Linked DNA regions of Elephas maximus indicus. The protein of the gene in region 1 interacts with the protein of each later gene in a biochemical or structural test. Links are inferred from orthologs where the notes say so. Each region holds a gene or a part of one and is shown in the gene's direction. Other genes may lie near its edges.

Region 1 (8,220 bases):
TATTCTGCACTGGTCTCACCCCATCTGGAGCAAGGGAAAATGAAGAAAACCAAAGACACAAGGGAAAGATTAATCAAAAGGACTAACAGACCACAAGTACCACAGCCTCCATGAGACTGAGTCCAGCACGACTAGGTGATGGCCAGCTACCACAACTGACTGCTGTGACAGGGATCACAACAGAGGGTCCTGGACAGAGCTGGAGAAAAATGTAGAACAAAATTCAAACTCACCAAAAAAAAGACTAGATTTACTGGTCTGACAGAGACTGGAGATACCCCAAGAGTATGGCCCCCAAGACACCCTTTTAACTCAGTACTGAAGTCATTCCTAAAGTTCACCCTTTAGCCAAAGATTAGACAATCCCATGAAACAAACAATAATACACATAGCTCAACCATGTATATTAGACTAAATGGGTACACCAACCTAGGGGCAAGGAAGAGAACGCAAGAGAGGTCAGGAAAGCTGGACAATGGAAAAGGGGAACCCAAGGTTGAGAAGGGGAGAATGTTGACACTTTGTGGGGTTGGCAACCAATGTCACAAAACAATATGTATATTAATTGTTTAATGAGAAATTAATTTGCTCTGTAAACCTTCATATAAAGCACATACAAAGACCAGGCTTACTGGTCTGACAACAAAAAAATTATCAAAATGGATGAATAAATGCACAGAACCAAATGTCTCAGAAGGTGGTTGAACAATCTTCTCTTTAGACCTGTGGACAAAAAACAAAGACAGTCCAAAGATGACCATTTCTCTTAAGGTTAATGATTGATCAAAAGCTAACACAGCCCAAATTCAATAAAGCTCAGGGGGCCCTCTGACCCGGAGTAGCACAGACTCTGATAACTTCCTATGCACAAAGTCATATTTCAATGGAAGGACATCCAAAGTCATAATGCCATTGCCTGTTTTGGCACATGCTCTCACAAGTTCCAGAATAGAAGACTGGAGCATTATATTGTGGGGAACAATTAAAGACTCCATGGCAAGGATGGCCTTTGGAAAATTAGGAAATTTTAAATGTATCAAAACCTCGTACCAGGCACTTTGCTAAGTGCTTTGCAAACACTAATTTAGTGACCTCATGAAGGAGACGCTATTATCATCCCCATCGGTTTGGTTCACAGAAGAAAGTAAAGCACACACAGGTTAATTCTTTCAGGCCTAGCAGTATATACAGCAACCATGAACTTTTTCAGCCCCTGGGATTTACTGGGAAGCTGCTGTATCATTGACAGTGTGTGCTGCTGCAAGGCAGGGACCTTTATGACTGTTTGAAACCAAACAAATGGGTGTGTGCTGCAAATTACTGTTTTTACAGGGTATTGTAGAAGGTGCCTGAATTTTTGATAGGAAAAATAGAAATTTTGAAAGTTTTTATTTGTTACATATATGTACCCATAGGTCTGGGTGGGGACTCTGGGGTATAACTAGTGGGACTTCATACGTACCACTGAACACTTAGGGTAGACTTGTGGGAGGGGACAAGAAAAAAAATCCATACTACCTACAAAAATTCAGATACAGTCAATGATTCAGAATGCTTCCATTAATAAAAACACATGGTATCAACAAAAAAATCCAAGCAGAAAATAATTGGGTCACCAAAGGGTTAAACAACTTGCCCAACCTCAGAGAGCTAGTTCATGTTAGAGCTGACATTCAAACCAGGCAGCCTGCTTCCACAGTCCATGTACTTTCCCATGTGGACTCTGGCATTTTTCTCTGGAACATTTTCATACTTTCCTTTCCGAGGGCCCTTATAATAATAAAGACAGATTTTTCAGTCGAAAAATGTTTGTTTAAACTGTTGCCAATTTCAGAATTGGTGAGGGTGATACTAGCTGCAATAACAGTGGCAGCACAGTAGAAGATACTGTCTTGATAACATAAAGCCCAATTGGCAATAGTGGCAATGATTGGTTGAGGTGGGAGACAGGCTCCCCTCCACATCTCAACTCAGTCATTGAGGGATTCAGGCTGAGGGAGACTCTGCCATTTCCAACATGTGGCCTGCTTCCCTGAAAGCAAGCAGTGCCAGGGAGATGAGGGGAAAGTTAACCCTCAAGCCCCAGCTTCTGAGACAGTTGCTTGAGGGCGCATCATAACCAATCCCCATTCTCACAAAAATCTTCATAGTGCATCCAAACGAAACCCAACTCGCTGCCATGGAGTCGATTCTGACAAACAATGACCCTATAGGACAGAGCAGAAGTGCTCCCACAGGGCTTCCAAGGCTGTTAATCTTCACAGAAGCAGACCTGCCACATTTTCCTCTCTCGGGGAGGTTGGTGGGCTCGAACTGCAGACCTTTTGGTTAGCAGCCAAGCACTTTAACCACTGTGTTACTTGGGCTCCTCATGGAGCACAAACCCATATAAATACTTTCATCCTCCCTGAAAGAATGGCTGTTTAAGTAAGCTTTAATGTGCCTCAGAATCACCTGATGGGCTTGTTAAAACAGACTGATGGGTCCCACCCCCCGAGTTCCTGACACAGTAGTTCTAGTGTAAGGCCTAACAATTTGCATTTCTAACAAGTTACTACATGATGATGAAGTTGCTGGTCCAGACCACATTTTGAGAACCACCACTCTTATCTATTGCCCAAGATTAGGGGCTTCAGGGACAGATAAAGACCCTCTCTGCCCATTCCTTTAGTAATGCCTTAGTGTTACAGTTAACCGCTCTGCTATGTTGGAAGTAAGAGTCCAGACTGGCATGGCGACATACTTCTGAACATCAGCCATTGAAAATGCTATAGAGCACAGTTCTCTGACATAGTTGGGGTCACCATGAGTCAGAATAAACTCGAGGACAACTGGGTGTTTTTATTTGTTTTTTTTGTAAAGCTAAAAGGCATTTTGTTTTCCTTTTCTTCATTAAAGCCATTGAGCCGTTGTTGTCGAGTCATTTCTGAATCATAGTGACTCTACAGGATAGAGTAGAACTGCCCCATAGAGTTTCTAAGGAGCACCTGCTGGATTCGAACTGCTGACCTTTTGGTTAGCAGCCATCACACTTAACCACCTTGTCACCAGGGTTTCCTCTTCTTCATTAGCAGCATGTTATTAGTGAATCTCCTCTGTGAGGCCTGCACTCAGCCCCATACGCACCAGGAACGGGGGCTCCTGCCCTGCTGGTGACCTTCATGCTGAGTGAGCAGGCAGCATGTAGCCAGAAGCAGTGTGCAGTGTCCAGCCACTCTGCTTGTTCTCCAGCCTACTTCCTGGCTGTGCGGCCCTAGGCTAGCCACACAGTCTCTGAGCCTCAATTTCCCCATCTACATAACACGGGACAATAATACCCACATACTTAAACTATGGCGAGCTTACTGCTGCTAACCAAAAGGTTGGCAGTTTGAATCTACCAGCCACTCCTTGGAAACCTTATGGAGCAGTTCTGGTCTGTCTCATAGGGTCACTATGAGTCAATGGCAGCTAGTTTGGTTTTCTGGAGTCTAACCTTGGAAACTCTATGGGGCAGTTCTACTCTGTCCCATAGGGTCGCTATGAGTCGGAATCAACTCAATGGCACTGGGTTGGGTATAGGACGAAGGAGCTCTTAACCCCTGCGCCACCAGAGCTCAGCCACTAACCCAAAAATAGGCAGTTTGAACCCATCAGCCACTCTGCAGGATAAAGATGACAGTCTGTTTCTTAAAGATTACAGCCTTGGAAATCCTATGGTACAGTTCTACTCTGCCTATAGGTTGTGTGATTTGGAATTGACTCCACAGCAGTGAGTTCGGACTATAGGATGCCTGAGAAGAGGAAATGAGGATAGTGCAAGTAGGAGAGGAGTCCTCTGTCAAGTGTAAAGTACTTGCCACATATTAATTATCATGACAGCTTCATGACAGGTTTGCACTGGAACAATTAGCAGTGGCTTCTGTTTTTCCTCCAGCTTTAGTAATATTTGTTTTGCTTTTTAGTAATTTTTGTTTTTAAGGCTTTGGTCACCCTCTCCCCAACAATGGTCTTTGAGGCCCAATGCTACTGGTCCTGACTCACCTTCTGCTGGTATATTCATACACTTAGACCCAAGCTCCTCATTGCCATCTTTAGGCTCTAAAAAGAAAAATATAACCAAGGTAGATGAAATGAAACTCTCACATTACTTTATTCTAAGTCAAGATCTTCTCAGTCTCAACAATCAAGGATAAAATAAAAAGAACGAACTAAGTAGTTTATCACTGATTTTCAACCAGCTAAGATTCTCCAAAAGCCTTGTGGCTCAGTGGTTAAAGCACTGTACTGCTAACCGAAAGGACAGCAGTTCAAACCCACCAGCAACTCCCCTGGAGGAAAGACTTACAATTTGCTCCCATAAAGATTGCAGCCAAAGAAACCCTATGGGGCAGTTCTATTCTGTCCAACAGGGTCACCATGGGTCAGAAACGACTCAACAGCAGTGGGTTTGGTTTTGGTTTTGAGATAAAGCAGGCCCATTTTAATCCCGTCCGTACTGTTTGCCATTTGAACGTTAGTTTTCATCCCCAAAACTCAGGCAAGTGCAGAGAACGAAAGTGAGATGCCCTTCGAAGGGGAGCAGGGACCACTGAAAATCTTTGCAAAGAGCCCTCTGCGTTAGCTGTGCGACCCAAGTCATCCTGACATCTTTCCTCCCTTCAGAGCCCCAGGCTGTGATAGGCGGTGATTTACATTCCTGCTCTTTTGGAGGGAAAAGACCTGGAGTCACAAAGACGGGGATTCAGTCTTTATCTTACCACTTAATACGCTACCTAGGATACACCACTTCTTTAAGACTCAGTTCTTCCATCTGTATGATGGACATACCACTATCTGCCTCACAGAGCTGTTCTGGATGATAATGTATCGTTTCTAGAGCACTGCCAGGCACAAGGTGCTCCTCGTCGCCATCCAGGGAATTCCGGCTCATGGAGACAGGGGAAAGCCTCCTTCCCTCGGGTTTTACTTTCACCACTAAAGGAACACTACTGGCCTGGAGCCCCGCGCCCTGGATCGTCAGGGGTCCGCTAGCTCCCAGGGGAGCCCAGGCCAGCCCTGAAAGTCCCAAACCCCTGGGGATCCGCCCCAATCTCTTAAAGAACTCCCCATCCCACGGCTCGAGGGCCAAACAGCCGGCCCAGCCCACCTAGGCGTTTGCATCGCCCGCCCCTCTGCGTGATGAGGCGGCATCACTTCCGCCGGAAGAGGCGAGGGGCCCGCGCCGTTGGCGCGAAAGTCGGTTCCCGTCCTCGGCCACTTCCGGGTTGTCCTGCGATTCCCCCGGGCTGGGGGCGCCGCCGGCTGGGGCGGGTCTGCGCCGGGCTGGCGCCCGACCCCCGCCGTCGTCCTGCCGGCCGCGCGCCCCCCAACTCGCCAGCCGGAGGCTCCCGGGCTCCACCAAGGTGAGTGAGTCGCGGGATGAAGACCCGGTTCTTTCTCCGCCCCAACTAGGGGCCGCAGCGCCGCCGCTGGCCTGCCTTCCGGGCCCTGGCTTCCCGCCCTTCCAACCGGCCCTCCGACCGGCGGGCGGGCCTCTGCGGCCGGAGGGGACGAGCCTGTGCGGCCGGACCCACGGCCGGGCCTGTCCCTGGGGACCGGGAGGCGGGGAGAGGCGGCCCTCTGCTCTGCGGCCGGACCCACGGCCGGGCCTGTCGTTGGGGACCGGGAGGCGGGGAGAGGCGGCCCTCTGCTCTGCGGCCGGACCCACGGCCGGGCCTGTCGTTGGGGACCGGGAGGCGGGGAGAGGCGGCCCTCTGCTCTGCGGCCGGACCCACGGCCGGGCCTGTCGTTGGGGACCGGGAGGCGGGGAGAGGCGGCCCTCTGCTCTGCGGCCGGACCCACGGCCGGGCCTGTTGTTGGGGACCGGGAGGCGGGGAGAGGCGGCCCTCTGCTTTGCGGCCGAACCCACGGCCGGGCCTGTCGTTGGGGACCGGGAGGCGGGGAGAGGCGGCCCTTTGCGGGGCACGACCTCGCTAGCTGGCTTCCGTGTTTACGTTTAAAATCCGTTTGCTGAGAGGTGGACAGTCCTCGAGGGCCGTGGATTCCGCAGGCACAGAAGTGCTTATCCTTAGGCACCGGGCAATTGAACGTCCATTTGCCGATGTGACTTACCGTAAAGCCCCCGGTGCAGGGGCCCTCATGGCCTTCAATTTAGGGACATTAGCTTCCGTCTCTGATTTGTACGGTTTGATGTTGTCATCCTTGTCTTGGATTTTGCTGACATTCTAGCATTTCTTACAAACGTGCAGGACGAGTTCATGTTAAGGTCAGAATGCCTATCCTTAGACATTCTTGCCTGCACAGAAAAATGGGTGCTTTAAAATTTTAACTAAATATATGTGGTATGTTTTTTTCTCGTTAATGATCCTTTTATTTTGACAGTTCAGACATGTCCGGAAATGACAAAGAACCGTTCTTTGTGAAGTTTTTAAAGTCTCCAGACAATTCTGAATGTTTTTTCAAAGCCCTGGAGGTAAGAATAGTTGAAAATGTGGTTTGATGCTGTAAGTTCGTTTTCTTCTTTTTAGTGTTTTTTAAAATTAGGCTTTTTATGTCTTAGCCATAGATACTTTATCTTCATAATGGTTTTACATTAATATAGATATAGCATCATTACATGTTTTTGAATTGTTTTAAGTATGTATGTTATTATTGTGTATTTGGGGTCTTTGAAACACATAACATTTCTGTTGGATGTGGCTGACCTGCAGTTCTTGGAAATTAAGTTGCTTTCTTTTGTTTACTAACCACAGTGGTTCTTTGTGTGTGAATAAATTTGAGTCATTTGTGTACTGATCACACATCAGCACTTGTTTGGTTAAGTGTTAAAAGTATGTTTCATTATGTGCGGTATAATATGGAGGGTCCAGGTACAGTGGTTAAGAGTTCGGCTCCTAACCAGAAGGTTGGCAGTTCACATCTACCAGCTACTCCTTGAAAACCCTATGGGACAGTTGTGCTGTGTCCTGTAGGGTTATTATGAGTCAGAATTGACAGCAATGGGTTTGGGTTTTGTTTTGTTTTTTTTTTTAAGAGGTGGTGTAGAGCCTTGCTACTCACAGACCTCAACAACATCAGTATGGCTTGGGAGTTTGTTAGAAAATGTATATTCTCAGGGCCTGTCTTAAAGTTACCAATTAGGATCTGCATTTTAACAAGATCCCCAGTGTGATTCTTGTGCACATTAAAATTTCAGGAGTATTGTAGCAGGTTTTTCCTTAAAGTTCATTCATCAAATATTTATTGAGTGCTCATGATCTGATTGGAAACCCTGGTGGCGTAGTGGTTCAGTGCTACAGCTGCTAACCAAAGGGTCGGCAGTTCGAATCTGCCAGGCGCTCCTTGGAAACTCTGTGGGGCAGTTCTACTCTGTCCTATAGGGTCGCTATGAGTCGGAATCGACTTGACGGCACTGGGTTTTTTTTTTGGTTCATGATCTGATAGGTACTTGGGATACATGTATCAGTTACCTGAGCAGACAAAGAGCCCTGCTTTTTCAGAGCTTACGTTCTAGCAGGGGGAAATAGACTTTAATCAGTAAACTCATATGAATAAACTATATAGTGTGCTATAAGGTTCTCAGTGATATGGGAAGAGAAAAAAGCACAGCATGTTAAGGGGTTCTGGAGGATGTTGCCAGGAGGAAGGGGAGGTTACAGTTTTAAATAGAGTAAGATCAGGGTAGGCTTTGTGGAGAAGATGATATTTGAGTAAACTTGAAGGAGGTGATATTTGAGTAAACTTGAAGGAGCCACTGGGCTCTCTGGGGAAGAAGGTTCCAGGCAGATGGAATAACCAGTTCACAGGCCCATGGGAAAGTCCGTGGATTGTCTGTCCAAGGACTAGCGAGAAAGTTAGTGTAGAGTGTACAAGGAGTGTGGGAGAGTATGAAAGGATACTTCAGAAAGTAAGGGTGAAGAAATCATTTAGGGTCTTATGGGTTATTGTAAGGACTTTGGTTTTTGCCTCTAAGTGAAGTACAGAGCCAGTGGTGGGTTTTAATAAAGGAGTTTTTGATCTGACATTGCTTTAAAAGGATCACTTTAAGGACATACAAAAAAATCAAACCCATTGCTGTTGAGTCTATTCCGACTCATAGTGACCCTATAGGACAGAGTAGAACTGCCCCATAGGATTTCCAGGGAGTGGCTGGTGGATTCCAACCGCTGGCCTTTTGGTTAGCAGCCAGGGTTGTAACTGCTGTGCTGCCAGGGCTCCTTAAGGACATAGAGACTTCAA
Region 2 (7,565 bases), on another chromosome or scaffold:
TTTGTGTCTTTGGTTGTCTTTCTTTCTCCACTCAGTAGAAGCCACTTGAGAGCAGGATTTTCTATTCTGTACTCTATTTCCTGTGCTTAGAAAAGTGCACGAAACACGCATGGAATGAATGAATTACTGAGTTCCAACGTCCCCATCGGGAACACTGGTGGCATAGTGGTTAAGGGCTACGGCTGCTAACCAAAAGGTCGGCAGTTCAAATCCACCAGGCATTCCTTGGAAACTCTATGGGGCAGTTTCTACTCTATCCAATAGGGTCTCTATGAGTCAGAATCGACTCGACGGCAGTGGGGTTTGTTGTTGTTAACATCCCCAGCAGTGGTGATTGCTGTGACTTCAAACCTAACTAGTTGGGCGGTGGCTTTAAGAAGTGGTGGTTGAAGGGAAGAAATTTCCCAACAGATAATTACTTTAAAAGCTTGAAATAGTAACTACTGTCACCTTCCTCCATTAGTGTCTACCACGGCTCCCCCCTCCCACTTACCTACTGATAGGTGGCCACCTCTAACGTAGGGGTGGCAAAGAGTATACAAACTTTGGGTTTTAAAGAGTCCTAAGAGAGCATCTCATGCAGCCCTTCATTTTGAGGAAACTGAGGCCCAGAGTAGGGCTGGAGCTCCCACCCACAGGCTTCCCGTCTTCCAGTGCAGACCCGACATCCACTTTGGGTCCCTATACCCGTCCCCTGCCCAGCCCTCCCCTTGCTCTCAAAGGGGCCCTGGTCGCTCCATGTCTCTCATCCCTCTCTGTGCCCTCCTCCCTCTGGACCTGCAATGCTTCATTGCCTCTGGCAAGTGCAAGCCTAGAGAGGCTCCGTAGCCTTCCAGCACGGGAGAGGACTGTTCCACATTCCCCCCTTTTGATCAGGATCCAGCTGTTGAGTCCTTGATCAAAATGTTCAGTAACGGTAGCCAGGCACCATTCACTTCTCCTGGTCTCATGGTAACAGAGGTAGTAGTTGATGGAGACAGTTAAACCTGCAGTCCATTTCCTTTTCCTATTCCTGAATCTCCTTTCTTTTCTGTTGTTTCAGGCAAATAGGGACCGATTGTGGTATTCTGGGTGGCTGCTTACAAGCTTTTAAGACCCTAGGTGCTACTCACCAAATTAGGAGGTGGAACAGAAACTCTGAAAACAATGTTAGGCCAATTGACTGGATGGACCCACAAAGCCACCACCCGAAACTTTTGAACCAAGAGAATTAATGAAGTTTTTCATTGTACCTAAGTAGTATCAACAGGAAGGAACCCTCAGCAAGGTTAAGCACTTGGCTGCTAACCGAAACGTCAGCAGTTTGAACCCACCAGCTGCTCCGTGTGAGAAAGATGTGTAGCCCGCTTCTGTAAAGATTTACACCCTTGGAAACCCTATGGGGCAGTTCCACTCTGTCCTACAGGATTGTTAAGTCAGAACCAAGTCTATGGCAGTGGATAGCATCAACAGGCACAGCTCCCCTCCCCCGTTTTGTTTTGGCTGCTGTTGTAGTTATAAATTATATAAAATGCTTTATTTGCCATTTTGCCCCCCCCCCTTCTTTTCCTGTTGTGCAGCTTAATGGTAATAGCTACATTAGTTTGGTGAGACTAGCCAATGGCAGCTCCTCTCCAGTGCTGTGGACAGATGAGGGGCACAGGGAACCTCAGTGTGTCAGGGTTGGAAGGGTCTCCGAGGGCATCTCACCCCGCATCAAACACATCATAAACCTGATGCTGTGGATTCCGACTCACAGTGACCCTCCACGACAGAGTAGAACTGCCCCATAGGGTTTCCGAGGCTGCAGTCTTTACAGAAGCAGACTGCCACATCCTTCTCCCTGGAGAGGCTGTGGGTCTGAACTGCTGACCTTTTGGTTAGTAGCCCAGTGCTTAACCGTTGTGCCAGCAGCGCTCCGTCATCACCTTGACTAGACGAGGGAACAGCTCCAGAGACGGGGAAGGACTTGCACAAAGTCACACAGCAAATCAGCGCTGAAGCCCAGACAGAGACCCAGCCTCCTGGTGCCTAGCTCCATGTCCTTGAGAGCTTTCCAGTGATTCCTGACTTTGGGGGGAGGGTGAATGAAGACTCATTAAAGAGTCCTACAGAGAAGGTAATCAATGCCACTAGATTGTAAATGGAGAAATTGTTGGTGTGTTCAACAACAAAAATTAATTATTTAAAAAAACAGCCCTAGAGAGCTTGTGTTTCTCTCTCCCTTGGGCCTTGATGCAAAACCCCAAGGCCACAGGGCCCTACAGACCCACAGGGGTCAGGGAAATTAACCTGACCATGGGAATATCCACAGCTGTCCCCTCTTTGGCCTTCCAGACAGGAGCACTGGGATGCTCTCCTACTCCAGGTAATAGGTCTTCAGTGGTAACAGGGTGGAGGTGGAGAAGCCCTGAGGCTGTGCCGATTTACCTTAGGGGTGGGGGGAGGGGGTGGTAAGAAAGAGAATAGCTGGTGCTGGGTTTTGTTTTGTTGCTAGAGAGTGGAGATGGGAAGAGAAGAATTAGGCAGGTCAGGTTGGCCTGCTGCTTTTACCCTAGCACCATGCTAAGGGCAACTCACAGGCAGCGCCATTTTATCTGGATGGCATATTCACTAACACCTATTTCCTGACCATCCACTGAGGCCCTGTGTGAGAGACAGGGCAACAGCAATGAACAAAACCGACAAGGTCCCTGCCCTTGTGGAGCTCATGTACTAGTGAGGAAGACAGACGTTAAATAAGTAAACACATGTACAAGACTTGTGATAACTGCTATGACCAAAACACACGTGCAAAGATCCCGAGGGGAAAAGGATGTGGCCCTTTCAGAGAACCAACAGGGCCTGTGGGGCAAGGCAGGGTGACTGAGAGAAAGGCAGGAGATAGGTGGAGAGATGCTGGGCCGGCTCCTACAGGCTGGGTAAGGATTTGGGATCTTACGCTAAGTATAGTAGTTGGCAACCACTGCAGGATCTAAACAGGGAGTGGCATGATTCCATGGACATTTTAGAAAGGTCACTTTAACTGCTGTATGGAGGGTGGATGGGGGCGGGGGACAGTGTGGAGGCAGAAGACCACTCAGCTGTTAACAGCCATCCAGGGAGAGTGGATGGTGGCCCAAACCAGGACGGTGGCAGCAGGGACAGAACCGGGGCAGGGGAGGGGGGCAAATTTGCCATCTGATTGGGAGCTAGGACTGTCAAGACTTGCTGCAGGATTGGCGCATCTGGGAAGAGGGTGGTGTCCACAGGGACTCCGTTTACTGGCCTGTATGCCCAGGTGGAGGTAGTGTCATTGACACTGATCCCCGGGAAGGAGAAAGGGAATTACAATCTCCTGCCCCGTTGCTCTAGGGAGGGGGTGAGGGCTGGTGAGGCAGGGGAGCTGAGGGCAAGGAGAGCGGGTGCAGAAGTGCAGCGCCAGGAGACAAAAGAGCCGCGTCCCTACAGACAGGGCCAAGGGGGGCAAGCACTGGCTGACCCTAAAGGGAAGCAGAAGACCCTTCGAACGGCCAAACTTCGGTGCTGCCGGGAGCTAGAGGTCAGGGCTCCCACCCTGGCCTGCCTTCCACTCCATACACGTGGGACTGAGGTGCAGGGCAAGGGGAGGACCTCCGGCTGATGAACGCCTCCTTTCGCACAATGCTGGGTTTTAAAAAAATAGTCTCAAAACCACGACTCTACCCTCGTCAACCTTTTCCTGTGTTTCCCAGCAGCGGCCTCATCGTCTGGTGGCGCCCCTTCCCTCTCCCCGGTGCCAATCCCCACGCGCTTCGCTCTTGCTCTTCTACCCCTTTGTCAGGAGAATCTTTTCTCTTCCTGAATCAATGAGGTGCCACCCCTTGAAACCAGAATGAGCAGCCACCGCCCACCCCTGGCTCCTGCAGCGCGTCGCGTTAACATCTTTTGAGAGGTGGTGGTTGCTGCGTGTGTCCGAGTCCTCAGCCCATACTGGGTGCGGACGGTCTGCTTTCCACCCAGTATCCCCAGACACGCCCGAAAGTCTGTACTAAATAAGGGCCCCGGCGGGCTCGTCCCCGGGCTCTGGCCTGCGAGCCCGGGGCTCGCTCCACTGCGCCATGCACCTCCCGCCCTGGAGCAGTGTCCCCGCGCTCGTGCGCCCCGCCAAGTGGCCTAGCACCCAACGGCACGGAGGGGCCGGGAGGGCTACAAGGAGCGAGCACCGCAAGCGCCGCCGCGCTCCGGCCCACGTGATAGGGGCCTGCGCCTGAGAACGGCTGCGTCACGTGACGGAGGGGCCGGGAGCGTTTCTCACGTGACGGCGGCGCGCGCTCGCAGGCCAATGAGGCAGCGGGGGCGGGGCCGGCGGGGCGGCGGCTGGAAGGGCGCCCAGGCTTCCGTGGAGGCGGGGGGGCCCCGAGCCGGGCCGGTTGCGGGGGCTCCGCGGGTGGGTTTGCAGGATCAGCCCGGTGCGGTACTGGGGCAGCATGAAGTGTCTGGTGACAGGCGGCAACGTAAAGGGTGAGTCTGGGCGGCGGGGACACGTAGGACAGGCCAAGACACCTACCTAACCCTTCTCTGCTCTCCTGCAGTGCTTGGCAAGGCGGTCCACTCCCTGTCCCGCATCGGAGACGAGCTCTACCTGGAGCCCCTGGAGGACGGGGTGAGGGGCTGGGGCGTGGGGAGGATCCCGCCTCCCCGGGCACGGTGGCCGCGGGTGGGCTTGTCAGCTCTTTCAGTTTCGGCCCCATTGCTGGAGCTCGTCTTGGGCCCTGTCAACCTCCCAGCCTGGTGTGTGAGCGGAGAGCAGCTGCCCTCCCTGGAGTGGCCGGTGACGGGTTGGGGGCGACTTAGCCTTAGAGATAAGCAGGGAGAAAGGCAGAGTGTGGGGACAGCGCTGAAGGTGGGAGCAGGGTCGAGAAAGGGTCAGGGAAGGCTTCCCAAGGAAGGACCCATTGAGACTGTCCTTGAAGGAGAGGGAAGATCTAACAGGTGATGGTGGAGGTGGTAGGTTCCTGGGTGGTGCAAATGGTTTGCGCTTGAGGAGCCCTGGTGGTGCAATGCGTAAGAGCTGGGCTGCTAACTGAAAGGTTGGAAGTTCCAATCCACCAGCAGCTCCTTGGAAACCCTATATGGGGCAGTTCTGCTCTGTGAGTCAGAATCAACTCGATGGCACATAACAACATCACAACAACAATTAATCTAAAGGTTGGCAGTTCAGACCCACCCAGTGGTACCAAGGAAGAAAGGCCTGGCAATCTCCCTCTGTAAAGGTTACAGCCAAGAAAACACTGTAACATATGGGGTTGCCATGAGTTGGCATTGACTCCACAGCAGTAGGTTTGGTTGGTTTGGCGGCGGGGGTGGTGGTGGTGGAGGACATCAGGGCAGTTCTGTAAGCAGAGGCAGGCCATGGGGCCAGCCTGTCACTGCCCCTGACCTTGTCCCCCGTCCCCCTCACCCTGCTTCACCTGGCCCAGCTCTCCCTCCGGACGGTGAACTCTTCCCGCTCTGCCTATGCCTGCTTCCTCTTCGCCCCGCTCTTCTTCCAGCAGTACCAGGCAGCCACCCAAGCCCAGGAACCCGTGCGCTGTAAGATCCTGATGAAGGTGAGGCCCCCTCTTGGTAGGAACCCCCACCTGCAGGGCCTCCACTCTGGGCACTCAGTAGCTGCTAACGGGGTAGAGAAAGGGGCTCAGTAAAGACCTTCTCGGAGAGTAGTGGGGGCATATGGAACAGCAGCAGACTGATGGGGAATCCAAGTGAGCCTGCAGGGTGGGGCCACTCCAGACAGGGCGAACAGCCAGAACCAAGGCCTGGACGCGTGTGAACATACGCACATTGTGGCGGTCCCTGTCCTGGCTGATGGGCTGGGCTGGGGCTCACAAGCTGGAGGCATAGCGCTGGCTTACGTTTCCCCTTAGTCGTTCCTGTCAGTCTTTCGCTCGCTGGCATTGCTGGAGAAGACAGTGGAGAAGTGCTACATCTCCCTGAATGGCAGGAGCAGCCGCCTAGTGGTCCAGCTGCACTGCAAGTATGGTGAGTGGGCAGTGCCGACTCGGGGGCCCTGGGGTGTGGCATGGGGGGTTGAGAAGCCCCCCTGAGACCCTGTCTGCCCACACAGGGGTGAGGAAGATTCACAACCTGTCCTTCCAGGACTGCGAGTCCCTACAGGCCGTCTTCGACCCAGCTTCATGCCCCCATGTGCTCCGTGCCCCGGCCAAGTGAGCACACCCCCTCCCCCTCACCTCGAGCACAGTCCCCCATCTGGATTCTTTGAGAGGCACCTTCTCCATTTCCGTAAAGGGTTTCTGTGGATCCCAGCCCTGTGTGCTCTCCAGCCCTTGTCTGACTCTTCGAAGGTAGGGGCTGAGCAAAGGGGGTGCATGGGTGTCCCTTCCTCCATTTCCTTACTATTTCTACACCCCTGTGTTTTCCACACCTCAGGCCTGACTTGGCTCTCTGGGAGCCTCAGACCTAGCCTGATGTCTCTTCTAGCAGTCACTTTCTCTAGCCTGAGCAGCTGAAGGGCCATCCCTAACCTTGGTGGCTCAGGGTTTCAGCTCCCTGCAGGGCCCAGTCGTACTTTGGGGGTCTTCCCCCTTTCAGCGTGGGCACTGACTATCGCCTGCCCTGGCGCTGGCTCGTGGAGTCCCCAGGCCCAGGCAGAAGGCCAGACGGGGAGGTTGTGGTCCAGGAGAGTGGAGTATTCTGGGCACTGCAGGGTGAGGGAGGTGGGGATGCCAGGGAAGGCAGGGGTCCCTGACAAGTACCACCTCAGAGAGGAGTGGCCCCTGGGCACTGCTTGCATCCAAGTGGCCGAGTTCCCATTCATTCTCTTGGTAGCCTTAGGACATGGTTGTGTGAGGTTCCCTTTGGGTCTGAGAGTCTGTTTCCCTGAGTTCTGTCGAGAGAGCTCCGCTCAGGGCTCCTTTGGATAGAGAAAGGGGGAAGGCCGTCCCTTTTGGTCTGAGTTTTGTGACAATTTAAATCACTCCTTTTAATGAACATTTGTCTTATGGACAGTCTGAAACACGTAAAAAAGTAGAACATAGTATGCTGACTCCTTGTACCATCACCCCCAGCTTGTGTCCCGTTGTTCTGAGGCGGACTCCAGGTGTTATTTCATTTATCACACGTATTGGTCAAAGACAAGAAGTTAGGGAGGGGCTCTTTCTGAAGGCCGGTTGGTTGGGACGGTATGGGTGTGGCTTCCCACCTCCGGACCCCATTCTTCCTTCCCCGCGGGAGAGCCCTCTCCCATCCTGTATGCTGGTGCTGCCCGCCCTGTGTGGGCCTTTGTCTGTCCCGCCGCCCCCCACCCCCCCGACCCCGTCCTGCTTTCAGTGGACTTGGGCTGTGGCAGGGAAGGACCAGGCCTGCTCATCCTGCCCTCTCCTTCCCAGGGTGCTGGCCTGGCCCAGGTGTAGTTCTCCTTAGATGCCAGTGTGTGTGTGTAGCCCCCCGTCCTCTAGTCCTCTGAGAGCAAGGCTGCCGGGCAGGGCTGGCCTGGCCTGGGGATAACACTGCCTGTCCTCACAGGGTCCTGGGGGAGGCTGTTCTGCCATTCCCCCCTGCGCTGGCTGAAGTGACGCTGGGTGTTAGCCATGGCCGCAGGGTCATCC

Evidence for each region. The genes of interacting proteins can lie anywhere in the genome.
Region 2: the proteins of TOPBP1 (region 1) and RAD9A form a complex in vitro, tested with the Homo sapiens proteins (4 studies listed by BioGRID). The link is inferred for Elephas maximus indicus from reciprocal best matches to the Homo sapiens genes TOPBP1 and RAD9A.

The regions. Positions count from the first base shown.
Region 1 is NC_064844.1:46,132,700-46,140,919, forward strand, and holds the start of TOPBP1 (DNA topoisomerase 2-binding protein 1), read left to right. Parts: upstream 1-5,201; 5' UTR 5,202-5,384; intron 5,385-5,447; exon of another isoform or gene 5,448-6,247; intron 6,248-6,363; exon of another isoform or gene 6,364-6,368; 5' UTR 6,369-6,370; coding exon 6,371-6,454; intron 6,455-8,220. UniProt on the Homo sapiens protein: Scaffold protein that acts as a key protein-protein adapter in DNA replication and DNA repair. Composed of multiple BRCT domains, which specifically recognize and bind phosphorylated proteins, bringing proteins together into functional combinations.
Region 2 is NC_064825.1:130,422,723-130,430,287, forward strand, and holds the start of RAD9A (cell cycle checkpoint control protein RAD9A), read left to right. Parts: upstream 1-4,325; 5' UTR 4,326-4,427; coding exon 4,428-4,461; intron 4,462-4,532; coding exon 4,533-4,603; intron 4,604-4,609; exon of another isoform or gene 4,610-4,731; intron 4,732-5,420; coding exon 5,421-5,549; intron 5,550-5,864; coding exon 5,865-5,979; intron 5,980-6,064; coding exon 6,065-6,164; intron 6,165-7,482; coding exon 7,483-7,565. UniProt on the Homo sapiens protein: Component of the 9-1-1 cell-cycle checkpoint response complex that plays a major role in DNA repair. The 9-1-1 complex is recruited to DNA lesion upon damage by the RAD17-replication factor C (RFC) clamp loader complex.